Stegostoma tigrinum: one gene and its partner. The protein of the gene in region 1 purifies or fractionates together with the protein of each later gene. This does not show direct contact. Links are inferred from orthologs where the notes say so. Each region holds a gene or a part of one and is shown on either strand. Other genes may lie near its edges.

What was found.
Region 2: the proteins of ubxn7 (region 1) and ufd1l purify together in Homo sapiens (affinity purification with mass spectrometry; 3 studies listed by BioGRID and IntAct, with this or other methods). This does not show direct contact. The link is inferred for Stegostoma tigrinum from reciprocal best matches to the Homo sapiens genes UBXN7 and UFD1.

Annotation. Positions count from the first base shown.
Region 1 is NC_081367.1:6,715,511-6,726,681, reverse strand, and holds the start of ubxn7 (UBX domain-containing protein 7), read right to left. Parts: upstream 5,417-11,171; 5' UTR 5,376-5,416; coding exon 5,297-5,375; intron 1-5,296. UniProt on the Homo sapiens protein: Ubiquitin-binding adapter that links a subset of NEDD8-associated cullin ring ligases (CRLs) to the segregase VCP/p97, to regulate turnover of their ubiquitination substrates.
Region 2 is NC_081379.1:43,303,249-43,313,696, reverse strand, and holds the start of ufd1l (ubiquitin recognition factor in ER-associated degradation protein 1), read right to left. Parts: upstream 5,255-10,448; 5' UTR 5,111-5,254; coding exon 5,108-5,110; intron 3,950-5,107; coding exon 3,820-3,949; intron 56-3,819; coding exon 23-55; intron 1-22. UniProt on the Homo sapiens protein: Essential component of the ubiquitin-dependent proteolytic pathway which degrades ubiquitin fusion proteins.

The sequences.
Region 1 (11,171 bases):
CAACAGAATGTTTTAATATTAAGAAGCAGCAAACCTATCCTTCTTGCAGAATGCAGTACACTTTTCTTTGTAACACTTGAATGCAATTAGGAGGTCCGATCTAGTACACTTGATGCAATCACAAGAATCATATAAACTGCGTATCTGAAACCTGCTCCCGGGCTGTCTAATTTTGTCACAGGTGGAGTATAATTATCTATAATCAGAAATCTGGTCCAACATTAGGATAATCACTTCCTATGGTGTGAACTATATGCCAGCAGTTAGGTCTTCGCTAACTACCATGATACAAAAGTAGGAGTTTGATCTGTCAACACCCTTCTGATGAACTGTTTAACAATTTGAATTTGTGTAATTATTTAAATTAGCTCAACATAGTAAATCTTTCAACAGGGCAGTAGAATTGCAAACAGTACTTCCGTTAGAGCCAGGAGTGCCAAATTCAGACAAATTAATCCAGCAGCACTGAAGAAGCAATTGTTTCCACTCAGTCACTGGAAATCAAAAGATAACAGACCAACACTGGAGTTATTTGTCCAGCAGGAGCTATCACATTTTGGATGCCATATTTAGCAATATAGGGATGATATTCCAAATGCAGCGAATATAACTAGCGTGAATAAAGCATGGTGCTTTGTCATGCAGAAGAAATGTCTTAAATTGTTGTGCTAATGTAAAGAATTTTTCAAACTTTATTTTGAAAAGATTTCACTAATGAGACCATTGTACTTTATATCTAAAAACTCATTAAGTCCTTACCTTAAACTCCCCCCCCCCCCCCCAGGTATTCTGGCAGAATTCCCTTTTGAGTAAGAAAACTGATCTACTCCTTTCACATCTGAACGCACGTTCATTCAGTCACACATGTGCCCTGCACTGTAAGGAAGCATTCAGTACCTTCAACATGTGTCACTAAAAGTGCACAAAAAGAATGATCTTAAACCCAGCCTCCATACACCAAAATCACATGCAGCATTGATATGGCACTGACACTAAAGTTAGGTTATGCTGCAGTAGAGTTGATAGTACAATATGCTGCATTCCATACAGCTAGCACAAACACTGTACAGAATTATGTATATCTTAGTGCATGGTAGCTGTTTTCATGTATTGTACAAACATGAAAGTTTACATATGCAAACTAAAACATACAGTTCTACCATCTGAGAATGTTGCTCTAGATAAACACACAACCTTAGTGGGCACGTTTAACAATCACAAGATACACAAAAACCAGAAGGTGGGCACACTTGTGCATTGTACAAGGCAACAGATACAATAACAATTAAAGTGTAGTATACATCAGTGATTAGAAATGGTCCTGTCCAATGGGTGTCTGAAACAGTCACTTTTGTGACGTGTTTTTGGGCGGGGGGGGGGTGAAGTGAAGAAATAGACACAAAGAAAATACACTTCTCTAGCTAGCAGGCGATTACTACTTCAAAAGGGTGTTCCCTGACCTCTATACGTGTTGCTTAGTAACCAACCATTCCCGATGAGAAGCATTATCTGTACTGGATGTTTTACCCAGGGTGGAGAGATTCCATGTATCGCAGCAAGGTCACTTTGGTCGACAAAAAGTTAATGAAGAAAAACGTGGGAGCTTTGGATTCATGAATCAACAGTTCTGACTAATTGTGGATCATCCTGATCTGGTTTGCATCTGTTGAGTATACTGAAGGACTCAGTTTGACATTAAACTTGTTACGGGAGACAACCGAGAGCTGCTATAAATTGCAGGTACTGTGACATCGTACAAGTGTTCTGACCCCAGCAGACGTCACTTTTTATTTCACCTAGCATATAAATGAATACAACTGCAGTTTTTAATCTAAACTGCAAAGTCAGAGAGTATATTTTATCTGATTCCAAGAGATCAAGGAGGAAATTTTGGCATCACATGCCCCGCCCAGAACAACTGATTTATTATTCAACCCAAATGCGTTACTCTCAGATTAGCCTGTGCAAAAATTATAAGTCTTCTGGGAAGTGAGAGATTGCCAATCAGAAAGGGAGTAAGGAAGATAGTGAATACAGAACTGTTTCGTCTCCATCAGCCACCCACCTTCCAATGTTGACTAGATAATTGTCAGAGTCAGAAATCCAAAGGTCCATCTGCTTGACATCCATCATTGGATTGTAAGAGATGCCACTGCAGAAGAGCAACAGGACCTCATCTTGCATTGTTAACAAGGAGAAGCACTGCAAAGCTGACTTAGGCTCATGCTACAGCCTTACATCTAGAGAACTTGGAGGAGGAGGAAGAGGAGGAGGAGAAAGTAGCCCATATTTAAGTCAATGATATAGGTAGGAGAAGGAATGAGATTTTTAGGATGTCTGAGTAGCTTGGATAAAATTAAAATGCGAACCTCAATAGGATGAATTGCTACGTGAACAGCTTGCACATTGGAGAAGATTCAAGCAAGATTTGAGGTTTAAATGAATTGCTAAAACAGTGCTGTGGAAAATGAGTGTTTCAATTCAGGGGAACTGACACCAGTACCTGAATAGAAAGAGTTATAGCATTGGAGTGGACTTCACATATAGCAGCCCATAAGCCTGTGTCCTGGCAAATCATGTAATGAGAAGATCAAATAGGGTGGTAAGCTCAAGCCCTAGTTCAGGTAGTTATATAAAAACTTATCAGTGCAGACATGTTATTTAGGTTAAAAAAAAACACACTGGCAAGAGTATTTTAATAAGACATTACTGATTAAAGTCACCTCAGGGAAAAATATTAAACAGTTAAAACTAAAAGGTACTATGTCAAAATACATGACGTATTTCCAGGGAGAAGTAAGGGATATGAAGACAGAGTGGGAAAGTAGAAAAGCTGCAGAAGTTTTGACGAGATCATATTGAACAGTGCAACAAGTTTGACGGTCAACCCTCATCTCTTACGTTCTGACAGTACATAAAGGTAAAAACACAACAATGTCTACATATGTTGTTTTAAAAACTCGCGTTTGAATTTTTGTAAATGTTATAAGGTTAATAGACCAGGGTTATCTCAAGGTTATTCTCTACAAGGATTTTACAAAAGGTACAATTTATGCCAGATCAGTTTACAAGACAAATTCATACCACAATATTGTTCCACATTAACTATGGCTCAGTTGATAGTACTGTCAGCTGAGTTAAAATCCCACTCCAAGGCTAAAGGGTAACAGTCTCCAGTGATGATTTAGAGCAGTACACTGTCCGAGATACCAACTTTCAGAAGAGACACAAAACCGAGGTCCCATTTGTCTCAGATAACAAGGAGTGGAGCTGGATGAACACAACAGGCCTAGCAGCATCAGCGGTGCAGGAAGGCTGACGTTTCACGCCTAGACCCTTCCTCTTTTTCTGAAGAGGGGTCTAAGTGCGAAACATCAGCCTAGCTACTCGGCCTGCTGTGTTCTTCCAGCTCCACACCTTGTTATCCCAGATTCTCCAGCATCTGCAGTTTGTACTAGCTCTGAAACAATTTTAACCCCATTTGTCTCCTTGTGTGAACGTTAAAAAAACCCATGATACTATTTTGAAGAATACCAGGGGACTTACTACTAATATCATAACCAAAATGTGGCCTTCAATCAACATCACAAAAACAGGTCTGATCGCTATTAGTTTATTGCTTGTGGGAGTCTGCCGTAAATACCTGCCACATTTCCACACTTCAAAAACAAGTTCATTGACTCAAAGTACTTTGATACACCTGGTTTCATGAAAAATGCTAAACACATACAAGTGCTTTTTTCCCCTGTGCATGATTTGCTAGATCAGGAACTGAATTCCAAGCAATGGCTGTTGATCAGTTTTGAGACAGGTTATCACTAGTACTACCCTGGGGTCAGTGCTAACTTCCTGACTGTTTGGCGTACATATTAACAAGATAGTGAGATTGAGAGAACACTCAATAGTTTGGCAGGTGTAACGGTAAAGACTGTAGCGGAGGCCAATATTCTACAAAAAAAGTATGCAGTCAGAAAATTAGTAAAGCAATAACAAATAGCATTTAAGCTATTTACAACTGCATATTACATAAAAGGTAGGACGAACACATGAATACATATCATATACACTAAACAATACTGCAAGTAATTTAACTAAAAAGATTGAAGTATTATCGTACACATAACTGAAGATTCAAAATCAATGCTGAACAGCTTGACTGACAGCAGGCAGGATATTGGGAAGTATGAACAGAATTATTCGGCACTCAACTATAGGAAATAATCATCAGTCAGACAATAAATAGATGACTGTGTCCCATTTTGGTGAATAACACAATTGCCTTGGAAGACAATTAGAAGAGTGCTCTGTCAATTGTTGCTAGCTTAAAGAACCCAAAGTTACTCAGGCAATCATAGAGTTCTGTTTATTCATTTTGTCACAGCACAAACTTAGGAGGCCTGACAGCGTGAAGAAAACAACAAAGTTTAAAATGATGTGCTTGTTGATTACTTAAGTTTGTAAAACCAGGGGAATTAACATTTAAATTCCTGTACTTACATTTTCTGAATAGACCAAATATAATGCAATTGTTCTTTCCTCTAAGACGTAGCAAGCTTTCAGAATGGGTACCAGGAAGTGCAAAATATACTGACTCTCTGAATGGTGTTGAGGAGCTAGGTAGATGGCCTGGGCAGAGATCACAGGGTAAAGGGGCATTAACACCATCTCATGGGGCTGGTAGCAGCATTAAATCCTTCTCAGGCAACAGGCAACAGCATTAATACCCTCTCAGGAATCTTGCAGGATCATCACCTCACCCCCACCCCAGAACACTGGCAGGACCACTGACTCCCCCCTCAGGGGGTCAGTAGGGAAATTAACATCCCCCCTTCTCCTCAGGGACAACAGCAACCTCAGGGGACTAGGAGAGGCAATAACAATCACTCAAGGTACTGGCAGGGACATGAACAGCTCTCAAGATTTTGGCAGGGGCATAATACCCTTCAGGGGCAATAACCACCCTCAAGAACTGGCAGAAGCACTAATATACAAATCAGGGGACTAGCAAGGCAACTAGCAAACCCCCCTTCCCTTCAAGGGGCAGTCGGGGACGGTCCCAGACCTTTTCACCCCGGGACTCCCCCTTGGCTCTGGCGACTCCATCGGGTGGAGTATGGGGGCGGGGATGGTGTGATGGGGCAGTGCCCTGGGCCCGGCCTGCTGAGTGGCCCAGGACTCCCAGTCCTCGGGGAGGATGGCTGGTGGTGAGGGATGGTCACAACGAAGGCAGATGGGAGTCCTGAGGGCGGTGACGGCCTCCAGCTCCACTCTCTCTCCCGCCCTCTCGCCTGTTTACCTGTAATGGCTGTGAACTGCCGGATTAACCCCTGCAACGCCGACCCGGCCGACCCCGCTCCATCACCAACCGCCGCCATCTTACCGCGCAGCGCCCACGCAGGCGCACTCGGCCCAACCTTCTCTCCCCTCAGTCCCTCTCTTCTCCCACACGGGGACGTGACGTCATCCCTCCAACCACATTGGCCGGCTGCCCCATCTCCACGCCTGCGCACTCGGCACGCGTGCCAAATTGGAGGGACATCTTTGATCAAGGCAACACGATGCTTTCTGTGTCTCTTTCCATTGACTGGAGAGCTCGCTCATTGTTTGCAAATCAGCAGCGACTGCCGCAATCGTGATGGCAATCTTTCCGCGTCACCCCAACACCAATACGAGAAATTCCCATTGGACTTCGGACAGTTCAGGGCGCTTTATTTGTAATTTGTTACCTTCGAAGTTTTGGAACTCGACCTAGAGGTCAGAATATTCTGGCCCAACCGCTTGTATTGAACCCTATATACCCATTGTAAACACAGCCTAGATATTTTGAAGCAATGATGTTTGGATTTTTTTTAAAAATGCTAACTGCTAACGAGTTTGCGAAGGATTCTGACGGCAGGGCATCGTCATACAAAAGTTGAACGCTGGGGACATTGACAATAAGTAACAAAACTAACTGAATCAAAAACAAAAAGTGCTGAAAACACTCAGCAGGTCTGGTAGCATCTATGAAGAGAGAAACAAAAATTAACACTTCGAGTCGATTACGATTTTTTCGGAACTAGAACACAACTCTATTTTGTCTGTTATATACATTTCTGTTACTGTTGCCAACATCCTCATTCTGCTTTTGAAGCATATTTATTTTAATCCGCTCTCACTAGACAGCCTTTTAAGTAGCCTTTTCTAGGCGATTATCAGGAAAGTACTGGAAGCACTTATGTCACATAATATTATACGATTTTAAGATGCAGACATAACGATTGTATAGAAATGTACAATTACATTTGTTTGCAGCTGTGAATTTGGATGTTACTGAAGTCCACAGCAACACTTAAAAATAGGAACTTGCTTTCTTTGCAAAGCTGATTTAATGCACCTTAAGACAGTGCATGATTACAATATGAATAAGTGCAATTTGCACAAGATTTAAGATACGCTGTTTTGTTTATCCTTGATTTATTTCTTTTCAACCAAGTTATCCATAGTAGTACAATTTGTCATCTTAAACAATTAAAAATATATTGCTGTCATGAAGTTGTGTAGAAAATTCATGAATTGAAAGGCAGGAAGTTAGAATGTGTAAAAATAAGAGTGGGGAAAAGCAGTGCACGTTCCCTTTAAAATATTGTGCTTTGTCTGTACTTGGAAGGTTGCAAGTACTGTGCAGAGAGCCCCAAACTGAAACAAGTATATGAAAAACACCTTACAAATCAGGCGAAACAGGAGTCTTATTTTGGCAACAGGTTGAACTCAGCCATCGAAAGCCAATTAAATTTAAAATGATCATTTTGACAACTGTAAACCGATCACATTGTAAGAAATTGATGTGTCAGTCAGGGTATATAAGAAGGGGATTTTTGAAAATCAGTAAGAGCCAACTACTATCTAAGAAATAAACCGAGCTCTCACACAAAATCATTAAGTTCTCTTAAAAAAGAAGCATCAAAAGTACCACAGCACTCTCAGAAGTTACAAAGAAAACATCCCTGACAGGAAGATCAGCAGAAGGAAGGCTGTAGAGAGGATGGAGAAGACAGAGCATTTCAAAAGACAATGTGAACTTTGAGAGACTAAGTTTCAATTTATTGTTTTCTTATTATTTGGATTTACGTAAGAGCTGCTTGTGTTTATTGGAACAGCATAAGATTAGAATCTTGTATTAGGAAATAGTCATCACAGGGGAATTGTTCAGTTAGGGTTAAATAATTAAACTGTTTCTTGTTGCTGATAAAGTGAGCATTAGTGATTCCTTTCATTTACCTACTCGTTTAACAGATTGAGGGGCAAGATGAACTTCTCTGGTTGTTTAATTAGTAGATGGGAACCTCTATTCCCATTGTAACAGTTTGGGGCTGGTGTTTCAAATTATTTAGCTGAGGAGTTTGACCTTCCCCTTCTCCATAACACTGCATGCTAAGTGTACTAGCTGTTACACACACATCATTTTTGAGTGATAAGAGTCCTCCCTGCTCTGAGACAAATTCCTCATTAGACACAGGACTTTGGATGTGTGTTAATCAAATCCATCCTATTTAAGACTCAAAGATTCTGCATCATGTTTAAAACAATCCAAATTTAAAATAATTAATCTGAATTGAGACTTCACTACCATTGAAGAGAAGTGAAGACCAATGTTGCTGCCTTCTCAGTTGGTCCCAAGGTACAACTACCACTATTGAACCAGAGATCTTTCCACCTTCTAATCAACATTTTTGAGATCGCCTGAAAGTAAGCTTGTGATAAGTGTCAAGTAGCCTAACTCACTGTTCCAGAGAACATGAAAAAGACTGGGCAATTCTTTCAGTAACCCACAGGACAATCCAAACTATACATTCATTCAACTGTTGAAGACACATAAAAGGGATACAGGTGGGAAAATTTATTCTATTTTTCTTTAAAATTGTAATATTTGAGGATCATTTTAATTATAAGACCCAAGTCAATTATGATTACAGACCAAGTTGAGAGAACTAACCTAAAAGTTGACTCGTCCCATTTACGTTCAAGATCCATTCCATGTACGTTTTTCCATATTTGATAGAATTTAAATTTAATTAAACAGGTACAGAAGAAATAATATTCAATAAAAAGTGGTTTTCATTGATGCACGGAGATACTGGCTCATGGTTGACTGAAGTTGTTCTTCCATTTCTTTGTTGTGCACCAAGTTATTTAGAATCATTCAGCTTCCCAACAGACAGCGACCGTGCATTTAATCTCAGGTTGGTTAAACATGGTGCGCCCAATTTCTAGTTGGTCACCTTACTGATCTCACTTCCTGCTGTCTTCCAATTTGTTCCTTTGAATGTTAACCACATTCCTTGCCCCTCATATCTTAGCAACTTCATAGATCGCCACCAAAACAATGTGGCACCAGTAGAGCAATTTGTATATCCCTTTAAAGTGTCCTCTTTGACATACAATATTCCAATGTCCCAACTGCTACATACTATGCATTCTGGAACATTCCAAAGCCTAACAACTTCCAAAAACCTACACGCTAAAGGAATCATATGAATATACAATAATACAATAACTGAAACTACTTTCAAAAGATCATACTTTTTTTAGTTCTCCAAGAGGTGCTGCATACTTCAAGTTATAAAACTAAACCATCAACACATAGCTGTGTTCTTGACCAAAAGCTTTTTACTTCGTAACATTTTCACATTGATTAGCCTAAGTTTATGATTTGACCCATAAGAATAACCTTAAATCCATGATTTGGTTTAAATTTGCATCCCACAGCTACTTTCCCTTAAAAGAAATACCTTCATAACTATAATTAAATTGTATTCTGTTTATTTCCTCAGTTGCTTGATCAGGTCAAATTTAGTTATTGAAAAATAATTAAATCCTACAAGGTGCAGCATTTCAGTAACCACAGATTGCCTGCTTTGTAATCCAATGATAACAGACACCAAGGCTCATATGTGAACCTGGAATTCCTAAGAGAGGTTATATTGAACTCGGAGCATCAACTGTTTTTCTTTTCACAGATGCCGCCAAGCCTGTTGGGTTTCTCTCAAAACTTCACTTTTGTTCAGTGTCTTCAATTTCTAGGAGTACACAAAAGTTTTAATGCTCTTATCAGCAATACAATGGATATCTGCTTTTAATATATAGTGCTGAGCCTTTGCAGAGTAACTCGTATAACTCGAGCACTTTTTCAACTTCAACTGTTACACTTTCTACTGGAAGTTGTTTCACATTGCAATTAACTTCTTTCATCTACTAACTATACTAAAAGTTTATTCATGGTTAAGATGCAAAATGTGTCAATGCCTCTGCTCTAAGTTTGATCCACAAGACAAAGCTGACCCCCCAAAATAATACATCATCTCATATCAGACAAAATAAAATCTCAGTTTGCAGGCAATGTTTCATTCAAAAGTCCTAAGGAAATCAAAGATGGAATTTCTAAGTATCGAAAAAGAATTAACTAGGCTTGTTTATGTGTTTTAAAATGGTTGTGATCCAGTTAAAACAATCAGGTAGGCATTTTGTACTTTAACTGGAACAATTTGCTGCATTGAAAGATGACATTCAAATAGAAATTTTCACGTTAACCTTATTGCATACCTCTAATGGTTCTTTCCATGCTCATTACAGAACTTGCTAAGGCCAGAGGATTCACTGACTCATTTATTAAACTTAGCTCCAAGTTCATTAATTTAATGCATTTTTGTCATTAAGAACACTAGCCATTGTTTAATTATAACTGAAATAGGCCACAAGTCTCCATTGCATCCTAGCCAATTAACTTCTACCGTTGATCTGGTTCTGCTTCATTGATGTTACAGAGACTGTTCAAGTTATAAAGGAGATGCTGGATAGGCTGGGAGTTTTATTCCCCATGAAGCATAGGAAGCAGAGGTGTGACCATATGAAGGTTATAAAACCATGAGGGGCACAGATAGGGTGAATAGACAAGGTCTTTTCTCTAGTTTAGCTAAGTCCAAAACTTGAGGAATAGGTTTAAACAGCGACAGGGGTAGGATTTAAAAGGAAGCGGACGGGGAACATTTTCCAGAGTTTAGTGCACATATAGAACGAGCTGCCAAATTAAGTGATAGAGAGTACAATTACAATTTAAAAACATTTGTACAGGTATATGGATAGGAAAGATTTGAGGGATGTGGACGCCACAGACACAGACACACACACACGAGACAAGTTCAGATTAGGGAACCTGCTTGGCATGGACACGTGGGCCAAAGGGTCCTTTTCCACATTGTCTGACTATGACCATTTTACCACTCAACGGTCAAACTGCTGCTGTGTAATCCATTTACTCAACTCATTGTTTCATAGCCTAAGGACAGCGATGAGTGAAGCAGAAAAACACTGAGTCTCAGTGAATTCAATGTCTATTATTTCCAAGACCATACAAAATAAAGTTAACAGCCATAAACAGAAATTGCCAAAACTGTTTTCTCACCACTGACACAGCCAGACCTACTAAGTTTCTCCATCAATTTCTGCGTTTCATTCAGATCTCCAGTTATTTGTTCTATTTTAAACCTAAATGGCAAACATTTAGGGGTCCCAAAAAATCAAGAGAGCAACAGATTCCTACATTTCAGCTCAGAAAGAAGTAACCTGTAAAAGGTGATCACAGAGCTATACGAAACAGCAAATTAAAAAGGCAAAGGTATACCTAGAATGTTTAAACTGTGGAAGACAGACAAAAGTAACATGTTCAACCTAGGAAAAGGTAGCTTTTTCAAACACCTGGGAGGTTCTTCCTTATGCAGGGTGATTAATTTATGGAATGGACTCAGTGGAGTTGAAACATCTTAGATACTCTGAAAACAATTGGATATCAACAGGCTGCTGTTGGACTTTTGCTACATACATAAACAAATAAGCAAAATTAATTTCCTCTAGCGGTCCCCAGCCAATTTCCATGTGATATCAGGCAACTGTTGCAGATACTAGACACTAAAAAAGATTAAGGGCTCTGACAATATTTCAACAATAGTACTTAAGATAGCATTCCAAAACTTGCCACTTGCCAAGCCAAATTGTTCCAATCACAACGCTGGCATCTACCAACAATGTGAACAATTGCCCAAGAAGGTCCTGTACATAAAAAGTGCGGCAAATCCAACCTGGCCTATTACTTCCCCATCAGACTTCTTTCAATCATCAAAGCAATGGAAGGTGTC
Region 2 (10,448 bases), on another chromosome or scaffold:
TCTCAGGGATTCAGGTACTTACTCAGTTGATCCAGAGCAGATGGTGGCATTATTACTGCAGAGAGAAAAAAAATTTGAATGCAATGCAGATAAGTATAATAAAAAGCAAACTATTCCAGTATCCAATTTTGAAACAAAGTTCTGGTTATAGTACTCTTCAACAAAATAAACCATCCCTACATGCCTAATAAGAATACTACAAAACAGATATGACATTAAGCAACATTAAGAGATCGAAGGTTAAATGATCAAATAAAGTCAGTCATACAGCACGGAAATAGACCCTTCAGTCCAACCAGTCCATGCCTACCATAATCCCAAACTGAACTAATTCCACCTGCTTGTGCTTGGCCCATATCCCTCCAAACATTTCTTTTTCATATACTTGTCCAAATGTGTTTTCAATGCTGTAACTGCACTTGCACTTAACACTTCCTCTGGAAGTTCATTCCACATCCAAACCACTCCATTTTTTTAAAAAATTGCCCCTTTTGTATTTTTTAAAATCTTTGCCCTCTCACCTTAAAAAATATACCCCAGTCTTGAAATCCCCAACCCTAGGGTAAAGACACATGCCATTCACCCTGTCTATACATCTCATGATTTTATAGGTCTCTATAAGGTCACCCCTCAATCTTCTATGCTCCAGTGAAAAAAATCCCAGCCTTTCCAGCCTCTCATGATAACTCAGGCCCTCCATTCCCAGCAACAAGTCTGATAAATCTCTTCCTAACTTTCTAGCTTAAATGATATCCTTCCTACAAGAGGGCGACCAGAAATGAATGCAGTACTCCAGAAGGGGCCTTGTCCTGTACAACCTCAACATGCCGTCCCAACTCCTATACTCAAAGGTCTGAGCAATGAAGGCACACATGCTAAACACTTTCTTAACTACCCTGTTTACATGGGATTCAAACTTCAAAGAATTAGGTACATGAACCCCTAGGTGTCTCTGTTCTACTACTACCCAAGGCCTTCTTTTAAATGGTCAGGCAAAGAGCCAGGCTTTAAAAGCACATCTTAAAAGGAGGAAAGAAAGGTAGACGGGAATTCCAGAACTTAGGGACTTGGCAAGTGAAGGCTCAGTCACTAATAACAGCGATATGAACTGAAAAATGCACAAGAGGCCAGAAGTAGATGAGTGAAGTTACGTCAGAAGGTACTGTGAAGATTACAAAGGTAGAAAGCAGTGAGCTAAATGTGGGGTTTGAAAACAAGACCAAAAACTTAAAATGAAGATGATGCATTATCAGGGCCCATCAAGCACAGTGGTGATAGGTGGACAGGTTTGGTTTGAATAAAGATTCAGGCAGCAGCATTTTGGATAAACTTGACCAGACAGGAGTGGATTATGGAAGACAGATAACAAGGGAACCAGCGAACAGATTAGTCTTTGTGATGGGGTAAATATGTTGAAAGCCCACCTCAAAAATCAAATATTTTGACAATCATTTCCGTTTGTGATCAGTATCAGAGCACTGCCAGAGAGAAAGAGCAAAAAAATAGAGTTGAAAGCTAGGGGATGAATTTTGAAACAGCGATCAAAGCAATGGCTTAAGTTTTTCCACTATTTCATCTGAAGACATTCCTGCTCATCCTACACTGGATGTTGAATACACAGTCTGACATTTAGCAATAGTAGAGGAGCCGACAGGTGTAGTAGTAAGGTAAAGATGGGTGTCATCAGCTTACATGTGAAAACTAATGCTAAGCCTTAATTAATAAATAAGAGGGGAGAAGGATAGATTTTTTAGGAGACACCAGAGGTTACGGCTTGCAGCAGAAAGTGAATCATAGAACAATCCCAGACATCTAGATGTCAGTGAAGAGTCCTTAGAGGAGGAGGAGGAGGAGTTGTTTATCCTTGTCAGGTTGAGAGAGACACAGGCATATGAGACTTTGGCACAAGATTTTAGAACTGTGAAAAGGGCAGAAATGTAATTGAAGAGATTTTAAAAATAACTGAGAAAAATGGGGACAGATTTGGGAACGTACAAGTTCAATGGCTGTGAAAAGCAAAGAAAGGTCTGAGATGGACAGTAAGTCTAGACATAAGCAAGTTTTTTTTGGAGGAGAGTTGGTGACAGATTTAAGGGAGAGAACATGAAAGAGTGAAGGGAGAGAGAGGGTGCGTTAATAATGCTGGTTTCGTGGTGATCCAGATGGAAGGTTGGGTGGTCAATGGTTTAGTGGGAACAGTGTTGAGAGAGCAAGAAGTAGCCTGCTTTGACAGGATGAGTTTGGAGAAGAAACAAAGGCTGTTTGGACAGAAATTAGCATAAGACAGTGTTCAGGGCTAGAGTGGGGGGAATATTCCTGGATTTGTGGCTTTGGGCCAATGGAACAAAGGCATGTAGCTGAGGCAGCAGATCAGAAATAGATGGGACTTGACTGTAGGAACAAAGAATATTAGCTCTTCACACAAGCTTGTTGGACACAAGAATGAAGACAACAGGAGAGTGTGGTTTGAGACTACAGTTTGGAGTCAAAAAAGCAGCTGGGGATTAGCTTTACATTAGAAAACGATTCCCTCCTGAAACCAACGCCTAAGATCTGATTTTAAAAAAAAAAATAAACTGCACATGCTTTCCACAGAAACGAAAACAGAAATTGCTGGAAAGGCTCAGCAAGTCTGGCAGCATTTGTGGAGAGAAAGCAGAGTTAACATTTTGGGTCCAGTGACCCGAGTTCTGAGGAAGAGTCACTTGACCTGAAACGTCAACTCTGATTTCCCTCCACAGATGCTGCCAGACTTGCTGAGCTTTTCCAGAAATTCCTGGGGTTTTTTTCCTAAGCTCTGAATCAAGATGCCTGTAAGACAGCAGTGAAAAAATTTAGTTGGAAATAAGTTTCTTCTGAATTCCATTTTGGATATATTAGTGACTATCTTAAAGCTCCTAGTTTTGAGCTTCCACCAGAACATTATCTCTTATGTATCCTATCAGAATTCATAATTTGATATGCCATTATTGGGTCATCTTTGGCTTCACTCGTTTCCAATCTGTTCAGTCTTTCTTGTAACCTCAGTTCTGGTTTTATCTTTTTAAATCTTTAATGCACCTTTTCCAGCACCTCTGCATTTCTAACATACAGACTACAACTATCCACTGTAATCTTGGGTACTGATTGAAGAGATATAGGAGAAAATTCTCAATTATTCTTAAACCAGTAATCTGGGATTCTTTGTACATAGCACATAGAACATTACAGCACAGTACAGGCCCTTCGGCCCTCGATGTTATGCCAACCTGTCATACCTATCTGAAGCCCCTCTAACCTACACTATTCCATGTACGTCCATATGCTTATCCAATGATGACTTAAATGTACCTAAAGTAGTTGTCTCCTTGTAGTTCCCAGAAAATGCTAATGGGGCATAAAATTAATATTTCATCTCAACAGTGTAGCTGCCTCTCAAAAGTGCACTGAAATATCAGAATAAATTACACGTTCAGGTCTTTGAAGATCTGGGTTCACGCCACTCAGAGGTATAGCGCTCCCACTGAACGACACTGCACTTATCTCACAAACCAGTCTTCCGCAGAAACTTCCCTTTAATTCTGGTACCACTCCATATCATCTCAATTTGTGGTTCTCTTGAATCTCTTTTCAAATAGACATTTAGAAATATATTTCATATCAATACCTAGCACTTGCATCATAAGTAAGATTCATCAACAGGACAATAGAATATCAAACCTCTTTCACCTCTATAACTCACTATTCAGCCTGCTCATTCATGAAGCAAATTCATTTTCCAGTAGATTACCAACAAACATGTTCGATCACACCCATCGCACCACTTTCCCATCCACTTACTTTTGCCTCCTTTCTCTACATCCGATCGATCGCTGCCTGCAAACATAGAGACTGAGTAGCATCGGTACTGTGTTGAGAAACGATTCCGAAAGGCATGTGGAATTGCCTGATCAAACATATTGAAGGCAAACTGCAACAAAAGAGAGAGAGAGAGAAAATGAGGAAATGTCACAAAGAAAAACATCAAAATGTATCACATCAAAATGCAGAAAGAATATATTTAATATCTCTCCTAGGGTTTACTGAAGGAGGTCAAAGAATAAGCTGGAAGGTTTCATTTACCCTTGCCCTCCTTTCTTGTCTGAATACTCCAGGTTCTTCATCAGGGCCCTAATGTGTCACAGAGGAATTCTAGATATTAGACTGACTAATCATTGGAAATAAAAATTAATTCAGCAAAACTACTAAATTTCATTTATATAGTGGCTCTCACAATCACCTGTAAAGATATATGGGATTACAGTGGATAAATGCAATTAGAGCCATTGCCTTATATGCATGGTATGCATTGAAGTGTGTTGCTCGAATCAAATGAGCTTTTCACACATTTTACATTTCTATTTAAAAAACACAACTGCTCTAATTTTCAAAACATGGCATTGGCATCTAATGGTGAAAAGACTGCCTTCAGTATAAACCAACAAAAAATATTAGCAAAAAAAACTAAAATTTGTTGACAGATTCACAAAAAATCTAAACAAATTAACAGTACCCAAACACTATTTGTAAACTTAAAATTACTACAATCTGTTAGATGTTACTTTCCAGCGAAACAATTTCCCTGCAAGATTATCACAACTGTGGTTCAGCATTACAGTGATCTTATACTATTTTGAAAAGGTATTCAATGATGGACTCATCACTTATTACTCAATTTCCCCAAGTCAACATCTTAGCCAAGACTATCCCAGTATGTGGCTGGTGAAGAAGGGCTTTCGAGCTGAATTTTACACAGCTTCGGCTGGAATTGTCAAGCTCTATCAAATAATAAAACAAAACAGTCCATTAAAAGCAGCGACCATCTTTCAGGATTCGGGTTATTAAACATCAAAATTAGGAAATGTGTTATAACATCATATTTCCTATCCGTAACTATTGACAATTATTTATGTTGGTTGAGCACAGAACCTGCGCTAGCTCCCGGTTACCCCCATCTCAACCCCAAACACTAAATACACAGGAGAGGGGCTGTGGGGTATGACTGAGGCCAGAATCCATGCCCGTGATTGTGTCTCGTCTCCACATCCCGAACTGACAGTACCTCCCATGCACACTCCAAATAACTTACCATCTTTGACTTTATTCTGGGTGCGACGCTGTATTGAGTTGTCAATCGGGTTCGCTCTTTATCAAATTAACAACTTGCTGATCAGCGCAGACTGCAGACTCACTGACCGCACATCGCCATATCCGCCGGAAGCCGCTCCGCCGACCAGCAATGGGGCAAAGGACAGGGCTCCTATTGGTCAGAATCAACAATACGCCAACCTCATCGAAGCAGCCAATAGCGCTGTCCAGTATCGGACCAATCAGCGCCCGGACTTGGCAGCATTCTTGAGCTAACGGACCAATCAATGCGGGCATGAACAAAGCTCCGCCTAGTTATTTGCCTATGGTTGGGTGTTTCGGGACAGCTCTGTCCATTTACACACCGTATTGGTGCAACTGGTGAAGGGGTGGGAGAATAGGCCTTAGCAACCAGGCTCAACATACCTGGATCCGGAGATAATAAAATGTGAGGCTGGATGAACACAGCAGGCCAAGCAGCATCTCAGGAGCACAAAAGCTGACGTTTCGGGCCTAGACCCTTCATCAGAGAGGGGGATGGAGGGAGGGAACTGGAATAAATAGGGAGAGAGGGGGAGGCGTACCGAAGATGGAGAGTAAAGAAGATAGGTGGAGAGGGTGTAGGTGGGGAGGTAGGGAGGGGGATAGGTCAGTCCACCTACTAACCTCATCCCACCTCCTTGACCTGTCCGTCTTCCCTGGACTAACCTATCCCCTCCCTACCTCCCCACCTACACCCTCTCCACCTATCTTCTTTACTCTCCATCTTCGGTACGCCTCCCCCTCTCTCCCTATTTATTCCAGTTCCCTCCCTCCATCCCCCTCTCTGATGAAGGGTCTAGGCCCGAAACGTCAGCTTTTGTGCTCCTGAGATGCTGCTTGGCCTGCTGTGTTCATCCAGCCTCACATTTTATTATCTTGGAATCTCCAGCATCTGCAGTTCCCATTATCTCTGATACCTGGATCCGGAACAAGGCTGCTGGAAAAGCTCAGCAGGTCTGGCAGCATCTGTGAAGGTAAAAGCAGAGTTAACCCTTGCACAGGGTTATCGGACCCGAAACGTTAACTCTGTTTTTTTCCCTTCACAGATGCTGCCAGACCTGCTGAGTTTTTCTAGCAACAACTAGCTTTTATTCCTGATTTACAGCATTCGCAGTTAGTTTTTACACCTGGATCAGGAGCTTGCAGAGCACAGAGCAGCTTATAGAGTCATACAGCAAGGAAGCAGACTCTTCAGCCCAACTCATCCATGCTGATCAGCTTTCCTCAATTAATCAAGTACCACTTGCCAGCAATTGGCTCATATCCCTGCAAACCTTTTCCATTCTTATATCCATCCAGAGGCCTTTTAAATGTTGCGATTGTACCAGCCTCCACCACTTCCTCTGGCAGCTCATCCCATGCACGCATCACCCTCTGCATGAAAAGTTTTCCCTCAGGTCCATTTTATATATTTTCCCTCTCACCTTAAACCTATGCCCTCTTGTTTTGGACTCCCCTACCCCTCATGATTTTATAAACCCTCAACCTCCACGCCCCAGGGAAAACAGGCCTAGCCTGTTCAGGCTCTCACTATAACTCAAACACACCAACCCAGGCTCATCCATGTAAATCTTTTCTGCAACCTTTCAATTTTAACATGCTTCCTAAAGCAGGGAAATTGGGATTGAATGCAAAAGTCATTTTGTTTGCAATTATATAAATGCCAATCTTTCGCTTAATGGTGAAAAGTGGAACGTTTTGAAAAATGTCATATGTTAATGATGTTTAAAACTTATTAATGTTGAGAAAATAACATAATTCAACAAGATCTGGACAATATCCAGGCCCAGGCTGAAAAGTAGCAAGTGATGTTCATGCCACACAAATGCTGGATAGGATTATTTTCAATAAGAGACAATTTGCCCAACATCCTTTGACATTCAATGCTTTTACCATCAGTAAATCCTCCATTATGAACATTTTGGGAGTTACCATTGACCCACAACTCAATTGGACTCACCACTTAAATTCAGTGGGTACGAGTACAGGTCAGGCGCTTGAAATACTATGGTGAGTAACTCACTGCCCAATTTCACCAAGCTGGTACATCATCTGCAAAGCACAAGTCAAGAATGTGATGGAATACTCCAAACTTGCCTGAATGGATGCAGCTCCAACAACACCCAAGAAACTTGACAGTTTCCAGGACAAAACAGATCGCTCCCTCCACCACCAAAACTCAATAGCAGCAGAGCGTTCGATCCACAAGAAATTCTCCAATGATCCTTCCAAACCCACAACCATTTCCATCTAGAAGGGCAAGGGTAACAGACACATGGGAACACCAAATTTCTGCAAATTCACTCCAAGCCTTCCATTCTGACTCAGAAACATATGGCCATTCTTTCGGGGGCACTGGGTAAAAATCCAGGGATTCTCTCCCTTGTAACATTGTGAGTCTACTTGCAAAACATGGACTACAGCAGTTCAAGAAGGAAGATCACCACCATCTCCTCAAGGGTAACTAAGGCAATAGTAACACTTACATCTCATGATTGAATATCAAACAAGTTAAAATCAAGGCAAATTGATAATATATTAATACAATCTATACCTATGTGTTAAATACAACGCTGCCAATTTTTATTGCATGCTAGCTAGTATATCATTAACCTGATTGCTCATGAAGAAAGGCATGATTTTATAATCCTTCCTGCCACACAAATAAGGATGAGTTCAGTTTCCAATCGTAGGCCCATTGTGGTACAATACACACAAAATGACTTGGCAACAGATTTCCAACAGCAATTGTTTTCTGTATGACTGCACAATTATTCTCTGATACTGCAACTGAACTCTTCCAACTTAGAATAAAGATATGGAATGTAACATGGAACACCAGTGATTGTGTCAATTTACTCTCCAGCCAATTTACAGATTTTGAACTCCTTAATAATTATTTTTGTAAACAACTGTAAATTAAATTTTTATAAGAACATATGGACTCAGCTTCAGCCCAAATCTGTGGCAGAGAATTTCAAGTGCTGCGAAAGGAGTTTTTCTAACTGGCCAATGCCTTTTAAGTTTTGTACTCTCTTTTACCATGTCACTGAGCAATGAAAACAAACCTACACAATCTTAAATACCTCAATAAAAATCACTTATTAGAAACACTCCAGTTGTCTTGGCAGGATATTAAATATCTTTGAGATGTCACCATGCTGGATTTTTGATACAGTACATCTGTATGAGACTCTGAAGGCAGTTGATGACTAGGACAAAAAATTCCAACACTGAAGGCTTGGATGGCTTTAATTGTTTTTGAACAATTGACTTTTCAGCCATGGTTCAGTCAGAAGTCTTTTTTAAAGTCCTGCTCAAGAGACTTGAGCACGTGATCAAGGCAGATAGTTTGGTGCACTACTGAGGGAATATGGTGTTGTTGGATGTACTGTCTTTCACCTAAGACATCAAGGCTCCTTTTCCATCTCAAGTGGATATAAGAGATCCTAAGACAATGTTTGAAGATGAATGGGAAGTTCAACTACTGGATAATATCTATTTGTTAACAGATTATCTGTTTTTCTCACTGTTGATTGTGAAGCCATGGCTTGTGCCAATTAACTGCTGCACTCCCCTCAACTACAACAATTGTTAAACATTTTACGTAAGTGTATCATATTGTAGAGTTTGCTGTAAAAAGTAAGATTTTCTTTTCAGATCATCTGGTCAGATATGTTATTATGTAATTCCAAAAGCAGGCAGGACTTGAAACGAGGGGCTGTCAGTCTAGAAATAGAGGCAATACCAGTGTGCCACAAGAGGCCTTAAATATTATTTTTCTAAAATAAGAATCCTAAGGTTCTGTGATTCAAGCCATGAAATCTGCCTGAATTACTTAATCAATTGAAGCAACTTCTAAATAGTTGATTAGTTAGGTAAGACTTATCCCGTTTCAAGTAAATGTCTCCTTTGAAATTACACCAACAAAGGACAAGGGGGAGGAGGGTGTTGTTTTATTCAAAGTTATTTTAAACACATTAAAAAACAAATTAAGAGTCAAATTTGGATAAATCAAACCAAAATGATAAAGAAAAGCACCCAACTTGTTGATGTTATATTCAGCTGCTCAAGAACCTTGGTCATAAATTTGGTAATTAACTAGAAGCAGACTGTCTGGGATTCCTGTGCACCTTGATCTTGAGTATTCAGTCTCCAATTTACATTATTTTTCTCCTGTCCTTGACGAACCATGCTCAGCAGAGTACAAAATATGAATATTTAACAATTTAAATAAAAATAAAATACTGAAGATGCCAGAAATCTGAAATGAAAACAGAAGTGCTGGAGAATCTCAGCTAATCTGGCAACATCCAGGAAAGGGCAAACAGATTTAATGCTTCAAGTCCAATTTGACCCCGTGTAAAAGGGCCTGTTTATTTGAGATGTGATCCTGTTGGTTGTTATCTGGGTAGGCAGTATAGCTGGCATTGATAAGAGGATGAAATTCCCATGAATCTTTGTCTGGATAGGAAGTACAGCTGAAGGCAAGCCAATGGAAAGGCTGTGTACTAATATGGGGAGACACATTTTGGTTCTCTTTTCACATTCTTGCTAGTACTGGAGGCTGAAAAAGAGGGAAAAAAGAACGCAAGACATACTAACTCCTTCACCCAGACACAAATTAGTTTTAAGAAAAGCATAAATTGCTGCGGGTGGAGAGAAAACAGACAACATTGAGTCCAGTGGTCCTTCAGGGAACTTCAAAGATGCTGCCAGACCTGTTGAGTTTCTTCAGCAATTACTGCATTTGTCTCAGATTTCTCGTGTCCACGGTCCTTTATTTTATCACAGCTGCAGTACTGCTTGTCCTAATACCATATCTTTTGTCACTTTACTCTCTCTTGTCTTCCATTATGTCATGTACCTTTGTGTTTATTTCTTCTCCTTTTTTCTGTCTTATTTACAAAACTAATACAACTCTAATACTGCACTACCAGTCTAATGAGAGATCATCTATGACTTTGAACATAGGTACAAGAGTAGGCCATTCAATCCCTCAAGCCTGTTCCACAATTCAATGGCTAATCTGTATGGCCTACCTCCACAAACGTGCCTATGGTCCATATCCCTTAATCCTGTGCCTTAACAAAAATTTAACTAGAGATTACACAGTGTGGAGCCGGAGGAACACAGCAAGCCAGGCAGCATCAGAGGAGCAGGAAAGTTGACATTTTGGTTCAGGATCTTTCTTCAGAAATGGGGGAGGGGGAAGGAAGCTCAGAAATAAATAAAGAGATGGGGTGGGGCTGGGAAAGGTAGGTGGGATGGTGACAGGTGAGTGCAGATAGGGAGTGGTG